Linked DNA regions of Kluyveromyces lactis. The protein of the gene in region 3 purifies or fractionates together with the protein of the main gene of each other region. This does not show direct contact. Links are inferred from orthologs where the notes say so. Each region holds a gene or a part of one and is shown on either strand. Other genes may lie near its edges. The genes, in order: ARP9, RSC9 and NPL6.

Region 1 (3,622 bases), on a different chromosome or scaffold from region 3:
GAGATAGATTTGTCACAGTTAGGTGTTCGCATAAAGGAGGTTGTACCAGAGAAGAAGACAAGTTCGAAAGATATCTTCGTTGTACAGACGCCATTCAAAACATTTGTATTTCAAACGGACGAATCAGATACCCTGGTATGGTTGCATTCCCTAACTTCAGCGATTAAAAGCAAAAATGAAAGATTCACTAATAATGAAACATCAATCAATCCCATTGCTAACAAAGCGGCATTACTAGCTGAGCAGGAAGCCGAAACACAACTTAATGGGTATAAAACTACAAAAACTCCTTTCCTCACTAAAAGAAGGTCCAGTTTTACCTCACAGAGACAAAAACAAAACAATAACGGGAAGCTGGGTACAAGACCAATATCAAGTGGATCTAGAATGCTTTCCCGGAGCGAGCAAATCTTTAGAACAAACAAATGATCAAAATTCTAGTAAGAGTCATAGCTCAATGCTCTAGAGAAGTTTGATGGGCACTTTCTAAATGTACGGTACTCTGAACTGCATTTGCTGATTGAAATTACAATGGATATCTGTATACGTTTATATATTGAAAAAGTACTAGAATTATTTAGAAAGAAACCTCCCAGATGGCCTCTGGGCCTAGTTCGTCATACTTCTCCCTTGTGACATAGAATGAATTGTTAGAATGCCCAAACACTTGCTTTGTTAAGATCTGGGCGCCTAAGAAGGTAATATCAGCGAAACCAATCTTCTTCCATTCCGAGAAATATTCAGGGAACTTTGGTGTCATGATGGTAGTTGGTGGCTGCACATATTCAATCTGATTTAAGATTGGAGCAGTGGAAACCTTCCCAATTTTCTTCTGTTTAGAATCTAATTTAGCCGCAGCATCCACCTCTCTTTTATACAGTTCCTCTTCTGGTTCACTAACTATATGGTCTTTTAGCAGCTGTGATAGAAGAGCTTCCCTGAACCCTTTTATATGTGATGTCCCTCCAACAATAATGACATTTTCCCACATTGCTTTAAGCTTGGTTATGTCATCAATCTGGCTCATTGCTTGTCCTACAGCTTTCGAGACATCCTTCAACAGATCTTCATAGCCTGTGAATCTCTGCCTGCTTACAGTAATACGATTACCATCAGTATCAAAGAAGTCATTTGTCTCTAATTTGCTGTTGTCCAGTTTTTCTTTGTTTTTGTTTCGTTCGCGCTCTTCTAGAATTTCTCGAGTATCACGCCCACTAGTAACAATTGTAGCCACATCTAAAGTACCTTCTTCGTCATCTTCGTTGTCGATAGCGTATTGATCCATGATATCTTGGGACAAAATTTCGTATATATCCGACCTTTTTAAATCCTCAATTTGGGACTCGGTGAGATTTGGTAAAGCTCTCTGTAGATTCTTATTTATCGAGTTTCCACCGGAAGTAATCTGTCTTATGAAGCAGGTTAAGGGTGTATAGTCCATAATTGGTACAACATCGGTGTGAAACTTGCCAATATCGATGATCAAACAATTTTGCAAAGAGCCATAGGCAAATGAATTAGCTAACGAGCTAGGTAATATAACAAAATGCTTCAATTTCATTGCTTCAAAAGCTGTTCTGCAAAGTAGTTCTTGTTGGAATTGAGTCCAAGAGTAATGCGAAATTAACAAAAATGGAATATTAGAAAGAGCTGTATCCCAAGCGATTGGACTATCGTCACTCTCCTGTTTTAACACAGATTTATAGATCAACTTTAGAAAATATTGGAACGCATCAATATCGACAATGCTTCCCTTCACAATGGGACAGATAACAACATCAGTAACAGAGGATGTAAAGTTACCATTTGCATCTCTGTAAACTTTTGTTGGAATAGAAATCGAAGGCGGCTGCAAAGTATCTTCTCCAATACCAAATTGAACCAAAGTCCTATTGGATCCTGGATATATTATCTGGACAAAAGTACCACATGTAGTAATGTGAGTGGATCGGTTAGTAAAGTTATCTTAGTAGTTTAAATAACTAATGTTTTCGGAATAATGAACAATCTGGATACCGCACATACGAAGTAACTGTCTTGTCTTAATGGTGCCATTTTTGCTAAATGGTTTCTAACAATACAACAAAGTGCTCGATTTATCGTAACAATACGAGTTACAGTTGCTAGGTCAATGACGAGACTTTTCCTATCCAAGTAGCTAATTCAAAGTATAAACTTGTTTATCTTCTATTACTTTTTGAATTTTTCAAATAATGAAAACAGTTATCTAGCTAACATTAGCCTACTCAATGATGAATATGACACGCGAAACATTGAAATTAGTTCTATGACACGCAAAAGACCATACGGAAAAGAGATTGATACATAATGGAACAGTCTATCAGGAGCATAGACGGTTCTAGATCTTTGAGCAATGTTGGCGCTTCACTTATAGATCGTGAATCGATCAATCAGAGAGCACTACAATTATTACAGAGAAACAGAAGAAGACGTTTGTTGTTAAATAGAAGTGAAGACAAAGCAAGATACATCCAGCCCGAGCGTTCTGCTAGCAGCCAGCAGATTCACCCTCCAGAGCATCATATCAGCGCACATGAAAGAATAACAAAGGCTCGGGGAACTAGATATAAACCTACTGACCTAGCTTTGGCAGAAATAAGGAAATATCAAAGATCCACAGATTTGCTTATATCCAGAATGCCCTTTGCGAGGCTAGTGAAAGAGGTAACAGATCAATTCACTACCGAGAGCGAACCTCTTCGATGGCAATCCATGGCAATTATGGCTCTTCAAGAAGCAAGTGAAGCCTACTTAGTCGGTTTATTAGAGCATACAAATCTATTGGCACTTCATGCTAAAAGAATTACAATTATGAGAAAGGACATGCAACTAGCTAGAAGGATACGAGGTCAATTTATTTGAAGCAATCCTTCCTATCATTTAAAGTACAGATTTATCTGCTCAGCTTCAATTTGCTAATAGTTTGATGTCTATTGGAAGAGCAGAAATTATATATAAGTATAGAACTTTATATTGGTTACATATGGTTACAAATTCATTATTTAACGGGTGAAAATGGTCAGAAAGGAAAGCGTCCAAGGTGAAAGTGATGTACATCAATTTATTACTTTCACGTAATTCATTGGTACCAGACCATGCTGTTTGTTACCTTGATATACCTCACCCACATACCAGTCATCATTTATGCATTCGACTAACAGCAGGATATCACCAGAATTGAAAAGTAGTATGTTATTTTCATTGGGTTCAGTGTACGAATACATCGCTTTGACATATTTTACGACTGGATTTTTCATGGAATCAACGATGGGTAGATTCAATTGTTCACCATCAATAGTCACACGTTTACAACGCATTATATTCAAAGAGTTGCTGAAAGGCAACACTGTTCTGCTCACAGTTAAGTTGCTAGAAGCACCAGAGCTCGTTCTTGATGTCATCGGACGATCATTCATTTCCAAGATTTCTAATGCTGTTTCGACATCCGATGCGATGGATTTTCTACGATTTGCAGTTGGTGGCTTCAGAGAGTTGTTATTGTCGTTGTCAGAAGTATCCGTATCCATTGTGGGCGAATACATTGATGAAGGTCTAGATTTTCTTCTATTGCGTGAATTCCAAGATTTAGCAAACCTTTGAG
Region 2 (3,483 bases), on a different chromosome or scaffold from region 3:
CACTTTAAATGATATCCTATACAAATATACCTAAGCCTAAAAATGCCAGTTGTTAAGCAAGAGAAAGTGTTCCACGTTTGTTGATATATATATATATATATATATATATATAGAATGGGAATTGCCAGAACAAACTTCTAGTTGACAGTGACAATGCATCACACTAAGTTGTAAAAATCGATGGCCACACTTAGTTCCAAATAATAGCTCTACACACTTATAATAAGGGGTAGGGTGACATGGATATACTCACGCATGGTCTAGCCAAGCTCACAATAGCGTCAGTTATGATGTTCGCTAACCCGTTACCTTTTTCCCTTATTTTTTGGATTCTAAAGACGTCTTTTTGCTAATGTTAAAGAAATGACTTTTGCGGTTTGCTAATGGCAGCAAGAAACGATGCAAAAGGACGACTGTGTCTTAAAATTGCAGATGGCAATGCCACCATTTGTATTGTGCCTTAAGGTAAAAATTCTTCCGGACGCCGTGATGTGTGGAATTTGCTTTGATGTATGTATGAGTAAGTAATCAGATCAGATCACTGAGAGTGATAACTCTGGGGGAGTTAGGGTCTAGGAAACTAATTAGGTAATTAGAATGTGTTTGAATCAGGGCAGAAATGGAAAAGAAGGAAGAGAATCAATGGGTCGTTTGAGTCGATTTGATGTTGAGATTACACTGAATCATCGGTTGATGATCCGTTCCTTAGCGTGGAATTACCACTTTTCGGTCACATGATCAACGTCAATTGCCAGGGAGGTGAATTTAAACTCGTTGTTCCCATAACCATTTGAAAAGGACTTAGGCTGTCACAGAGGGGATAGTCAGTGTTCATAAAGAGGATAAACCTAACTGTCAGAACTATGATTAGAATCACTAAGCAACAGCATATAGTCTTTAATCTGTCCTTGTTACTATGTACGGAGAGCATTTATGTAATCATTTACCCGGATATAAGCCGTATTATTGAACTCGAAATTCAACAACATGCAAAACAACGAAAGATTCGAGATGGACTTCTTAATATGTACAATGACAGAAAAGGAAAACGCGACTAATTAGATGGAGCTTACTTTCTTTGTACCTATATCGGCGATCTAGATACCTTAAACACACCTTCTTTCGGAGACTCGCTTTTTTCTAGTTTTGTGTGATACCTAGTGCTTCACAAATCAATAGATGTCCAGCCATTCAGTCACTCCGGTGATCAATGCTGAAGGAGAAACAGCGATTCCAAGCTTGAAGACATTGCCCGCAACACAATTAAATATTAGCAGAGACCAGACCAATGGTATTACCGCTAAGCCTGTTGCTGGGTTGCAACAATCATTAGGCAGTTTGCCTATCTTCAATCATTTGCCTGTAAACTCTAAGATTGGTGTTGATGATCTCACCCGTATGAAGATGGCATTGTTAAGTGGAATAGACGAAGAAGTTAAATTTGCATTGAAAAGATATTTACGGTATAGCATTAACGCTTCTTATGTTATCAAATTGAATGAGAATTTGGATTTGTTGCCCATTATTATGCCCTTGATTACAGCATGCAGAGAATACATTCCACAGCTTGTTGGCCCAATTTCCAATCAGGCTTTTGAAGCCCTACAAAAAGGTTCAATTACAATGCTTCTTTTGAGAAATTTGGCACAGGACTCGGAAAACACTTCGATATTAGCCACCGATATGGAATTGAAATCGTTCATATTGTTCGTGTTGGAGTGGGCAAATACGTTCAATTCGAAGGATTCGGCAATCTATCAGTCACATACATCCAGTTTCAACGAATTGTTAATCTATACTCTTGATTTAATGGAGGCGATTTCATCTTATATTGCACCAGCAAAAAAAGACGATCTATATTTCCAAAACCTCTGTTTGATATTTCGTGATACAAAGGATAGATACTGCGTGATCTCAATTTTGAGATCATTATCTAGACTCTTGGTGAGATCTAAATCGGACCAAAAGAGTGCAGCAGATAATTTGGATGATAGTTTGTTGAACAAGATTGTTCATAACCTTTTAATTGATAGGGATGAAGAGTTAATAATTGCTTCATTAGATTTCCTTTATCAATATATATTACCTGGTCATCAGAGAATAAAGACATTACTATCACATAAGGAAAGATATGATATCCTAGTTAGTACTCTCCCTGTTCTCCTCACGTATCATGTATCAACCCCTGATTATCATGCCCTTTCGAATACTAATATCAAACTTATACAGAGGGTAAAACCTCAACCACCAGCACACGCGCCTGAATTGCCAATGCCACTGCTCAAGGAATTATTTGAGCTAAACGAACCAATGCGTGCCACTTCCTGGTTGAGATGCTGCTTTGAGAGATCTCTGAATGGCGAAGTAACACAGATTCTTCTATGGAAAACTTATGAACAAACATTCAGCGAACAAGTAAAACTAACAGATCGAAAATTGATAACTGCCGTTGATTTCATTAAAAATGTTTCGAATGCTTTGCCCGGTGCATCCGCTTTGGTAGTTGTAGATGAAGCAACGTCGAAGAAAAAATTTGTAATAAGAGGTATACAGCCTCGCAGAAAAGCTCTTTCAATCGTAGAGGCAAATAAAGATATTGACCAGTCCTCGCCTATACAGACTGAAACCCCGGATGAATTTGAAAGCAACAATACTCCATCGGAAGCAGTTCAAATTTGTTTGCCAGATATTGTTTTCCCCGAGAATCTTTCTGATGTATCTAAAGCAAGTGCGTCATTCCTTTCACTTGTTTCTAACGATAGTACCGAGATCGTGGCACAATTTATTCATGATATGAAACCTTTGATATTACATCAAATTGCTGACGTGCCACCTTTAAATACTGTTCTTTTGGACTTCATACATTCAGGTTGAACTTACCGTTAGGCCGATAGAGTAATTAAAGTTGTAGTTTTGTAATAATTAAATGTATAACGTATCGATTAAAGGTAAAAATTAAACAACGGGAGACCTAACTAATGTATAAAATTGAATTAAAAATGGTGAAACAAAATAAAAAATAGATGATAGCAATTCTGACAATATCAGAATTTTGTATCGAATGGATCAGCGTAAACCCATTTTTGTCATAATAATCGTAAAACTCATCAAATAATAAATAAATAAAACTTTCTTCATGAGACAGATTGTTCATGGAAAGTATGATAGAAGTATAGTAAGAATAAGGTAACATCAGCAGAAAGTTGTTTAGTGCATGGAAGAATCTATAATATCTTTGAAACTCTCCACTTTAGAATGATGATCAGATAAGCCTTCAGATTTGTAAATGGCAGAAATGGAATCTAAAAGTACCATTAGCGAGGTCTTGCTAACGTTAAAAGAACCATTATCATTGAAGTTTATAACCTTTACAGCGTTGTTCAAACATACTGATTCGACGATGTTGTTGAACAAATTGTCAACCAAAATTGGGTTAATTTTTTGCCATATATTGAGCAACTGCAACATTTGGTCTTCGGTGAA
Region 3 (3,132 bases):
CCGTAGGCTCCTTTTCAAACCGATTCTGCATCAAGTTGAGCTTACCGGAATGGAACGTACGGCATACGTCGTTTCGTAACAATATCAGCGAACGCCCCTTTGGAACTTTGTACAACGCCCTACTGGCCACAGACTTTACGCCAAGCCTAGATACCGGCCTTATTAAATGGAACATTGCAAGTCACTTCAATGTAATAAAACCACCACGTCGCTGCTACGGTTAGCCGAGTCTGATTGCTATACCGTTTACCTAACAGGACTTTTCGAATTTAAAACCAGTGGAAAATCTTTGTTAACACCGAAACAAACCGAGACAAAAACAGCCGTTTCAACAAACACCTGGCTATTTTACACTACTATAGGGTCTTAAATTCACAATGCAACCACTGTAGATTGCAAATGTAACTGCTAACGCTCCTTTTATCGGTGGCAAATGGCCTTGTCTGTTCACCTTATGGGGTTGTTCTGGTTGAAAAGCCCAAATTCATTTTTGGTAGAGCAAGGACATATCGTTACCCGGCCACTTAGTATAATACACTCTTATTACGTATGTTGAGATATACACGTATACATGGGAGGTCAGTTCAGCTATGTTATAGGCTTGTTTCGAATCTCTTTTGTTCTTCTATAGCAGCGACTATATCTTCGTCCAAGATGTCTTCGTACATCGATGTAGGGACGTCAGAAAGACCGGTGCAAGGTCTTGCTAGGTCAAGAGCTTTGATTCTTGTTTCGTACATAACTTGGCTTGTGTTTCCTTTCACTTTCTTCACTGATATCACTCTCGTCGATTGTGTGGATTGTGGTATATGTAAGACGTTCGTGTACGTATCTCTTAGTCCGAGGTTTTCGATGAGAAGAATGCGTTCTCTATCGTAGAAAAGATCACTGTTGAATCTACTGCATGCAGCAGCATGATGATAGAGCCAGTTCGTAGATGAGATATTGCTTGTTGCCGGGATGTTGTGATTTCTCTTGTCAAAGAATTCTACTGCATTTTTGGATGGGTTGACGGATAATTGTTGCGGAATGTCTATTCCAAGGGTATTTCTTCCAGTGACACTTGTGTGTGATGTTTCTCTTGCTGGGGTACCCTCTTTCACCTTCCCGGATGCACGAAGCTTACCGGCGTAATAATCATCCGTGATGTTTTTACCATCTACAACAACCTTGGCTCCGAATTCTCGGAACACACTCCTTGCAGTAACTAGCGCAATGATTCTGTTTCTGTACGAATAGGGCAATACACCATTTTTGATGAGATCGTCTCTCTCTGATTGCGAGATAATCAATTTGTATAGGTTTGGATGGTACTGGAAGAACAAGTATGAGTCTCTGAACCCAACGGCACGGGCTGGCTCAGTAGAAAGCATGTATTTAACTTCACCTCTGGAAGGTACCGTGAAAGTTCTGACTACAAATTGTCTTCCCTCTAGAAGATCACCATTCTTGGTGATCTTGGTTTCACCCTCTGGATCCTCAGGTAATGAATACTCGTCATTCACAATTGGGTATGGAGACCCGTTTTCGTCCACTGGGTACGGTAGTTTCTGTCTTAAGGGATCGTTCAAATCTTCTTCTCTTTTCCTCTTTGAAGGCCTTCCTCTTGTCGCTAGTACCACTGGAACAGGTGTGCTCGAAGCGGCCTTGCGCTTGGAACGAGATGGTTTACCCTCGTTTTCGATATCAGCATCTGGGTCATCATCGTAATCATCATCATTGGCTGGTCCAGGGTACTCTTGATCCTTTTCATCATCTTCAATGTCTAACTCGTCTGTATCGATTTTATAGCTGGTTGCTTTGTTAGCTGAGCGAGAAACCCTCGAGCTCTTCCTGCCTCTTCCTGCTGCTGCCATATCTGATATAGGAGAAACTCAAGCTTCTTGATTGGTGATTCCAAATACAGAATTACTAAGGAATGTTATGCGTATATCCGCTTTCAACCGAGCTTTGTTGATCTTGTTTGTTTATATATAAGCTTTGAGAGGCAGGAATCTGTTCAATGTTCAAGAGAAACATCAAAACGTATGAGATGATAAAGAAGAAAGAACAACTTCAACGGCTTTACTAGAAGCTCTAGATATTTCTGGGGGGGGGGGCCTTGATGCAACATCTGATCCTCCTATTGTTATTCATTGTCTTATATTTCGTACGTTAACTAACTGTTAAATACTTTTATGTGTTACTGGTAAAAAATGTGTCTCATTCAAAACTCGACGGTCCACCTCTTGATACAGGCGTCCACACCGGCGCTGACGATAGTGGAATCGTTTTCCCATAGTACACTGGACACACCGTCCTTTTGTGCGTTTAATCTTTTTATCACTTTCATAGGTTTGTTAACAGAGTAGATGAAGATGTTGGTGTCCAGAGAGCCAGTGACAACATAATCTTCCTCCAAATCATCATCATTTGCAGAAGGTCTCCAGTCAATGGATGTAATTCTGCTTGTGTGGAATGACCATCTCGAGGTCTTGACGTCCTTCGTGTCAAGATCATATAGGATAATCTTACCGGACACGTCACCGGCAGCCAAGTACTTTTGTGATGGAGAGAAGGAAAGAGCAGATGGAGTGGCACGTAATGGAGTGGCCAACGTGAATGCATCTGATAGGTCAGAAATTTTGAATAGCTGCACGGAGTTGGTTTGTTCGTATGCCACTGCCACGAAAGTAGTTCCCAATGCGAGGGCCCCGACAGGTTTATCTAGAGTTATCGATTTCGATAATAGCCCACTCTTGTTATCGATGATCAACAATTCGTTAGTGTTTGTAGCAACAGCCAAAGTGTTATGAGAGAAAACCGCACATTTAGGTTGCTCTGAGAATTGGTACTTCGTTTCAGCAAGCGCTTTTTCACCATCGATGAAATTCTTCAACGTTTCGTCCCAAGAAACACTCGATACCTCGTTATCAGAGTTATCGATGGCCAATACGAGATTACCATGAATATCATGGCTAATAGCATTGACTTCGTCACCTTCTGAATTCCAGGTAACAACTCTACCATCGTATGACCCAGACACTAATGGGTTTACCGCCAAAGAAGTAATCCCCTTGTTGTGACCATGAATGAATTTGATGGTATGATCATTTAGAGACAAAATGCTCAAGGTCCCATCAAGCGTCAATG

The links.
Region 1: the proteins of NPL6 (region 3) and ARP9 purify together in Saccharomyces cerevisiae (affinity purification with mass spectrometry; 7 studies listed by BioGRID, with this or other methods). This does not show direct contact. The link is inferred for Kluyveromyces lactis from reciprocal best matches to the Saccharomyces cerevisiae genes NPL6 and ARP9.
Region 2: the proteins of NPL6 (region 3) and RSC9 purify together in Saccharomyces cerevisiae (affinity purification with mass spectrometry; 6 studies listed by BioGRID). This does not show direct contact. The link is inferred for Kluyveromyces lactis from reciprocal best matches to the Saccharomyces cerevisiae genes NPL6 and RSC9.

What each region holds. Positions count from the first base shown.
Region 1 is NC_006039.1:1,062,516-1,066,137, forward strand, and holds ARP9 (Arp9p), read right to left. Parts: upstream 2,056-3,622; coding exon 2,026-2,055; intron 1,913-2,025; coding exon 578-1,912; downstream 1-577. Other genes in the region: serine/threonine protein kinase PKH1, read left to right, coding at 1-429; centromeric DNA-binding histone H3-like protein CSE4, read left to right, coding at 2,329-2,883; formin-binding protein HOF1, read right to left, coding at 3,078-3,622.
Region 2 is NC_006040.1:880,970-884,452, forward strand, and holds RSC9 (Rsc9p), read left to right. Parts: upstream 1-1,179; coding exon 1,180-2,874; downstream 2,875-3,483. Other genes in the region: RPM2 (ribonuclease P), read right to left, coding at 3,208-3,483.
Region 3 is NC_006042.1:1,271,904-1,275,035, forward strand, and holds NPL6 (Npl6p), read right to left. Parts: upstream 1,857-3,132; coding exon 594-1,856; downstream 1-593. Other genes in the region: m-AAA protease subunit YTA12, read right to left, coding at 1-175; AIP1 (Aip1p), read right to left, coding at 2,207-3,132. UniProt on the Saccharomyces cerevisiae protein: Component of the chromatin structure remodeling complex (RSC), which is involved in transcription regulation and nucleosome positioning. RSC is responsible for the transfer of a histone octamer from a nucleosome core particle to naked DNA.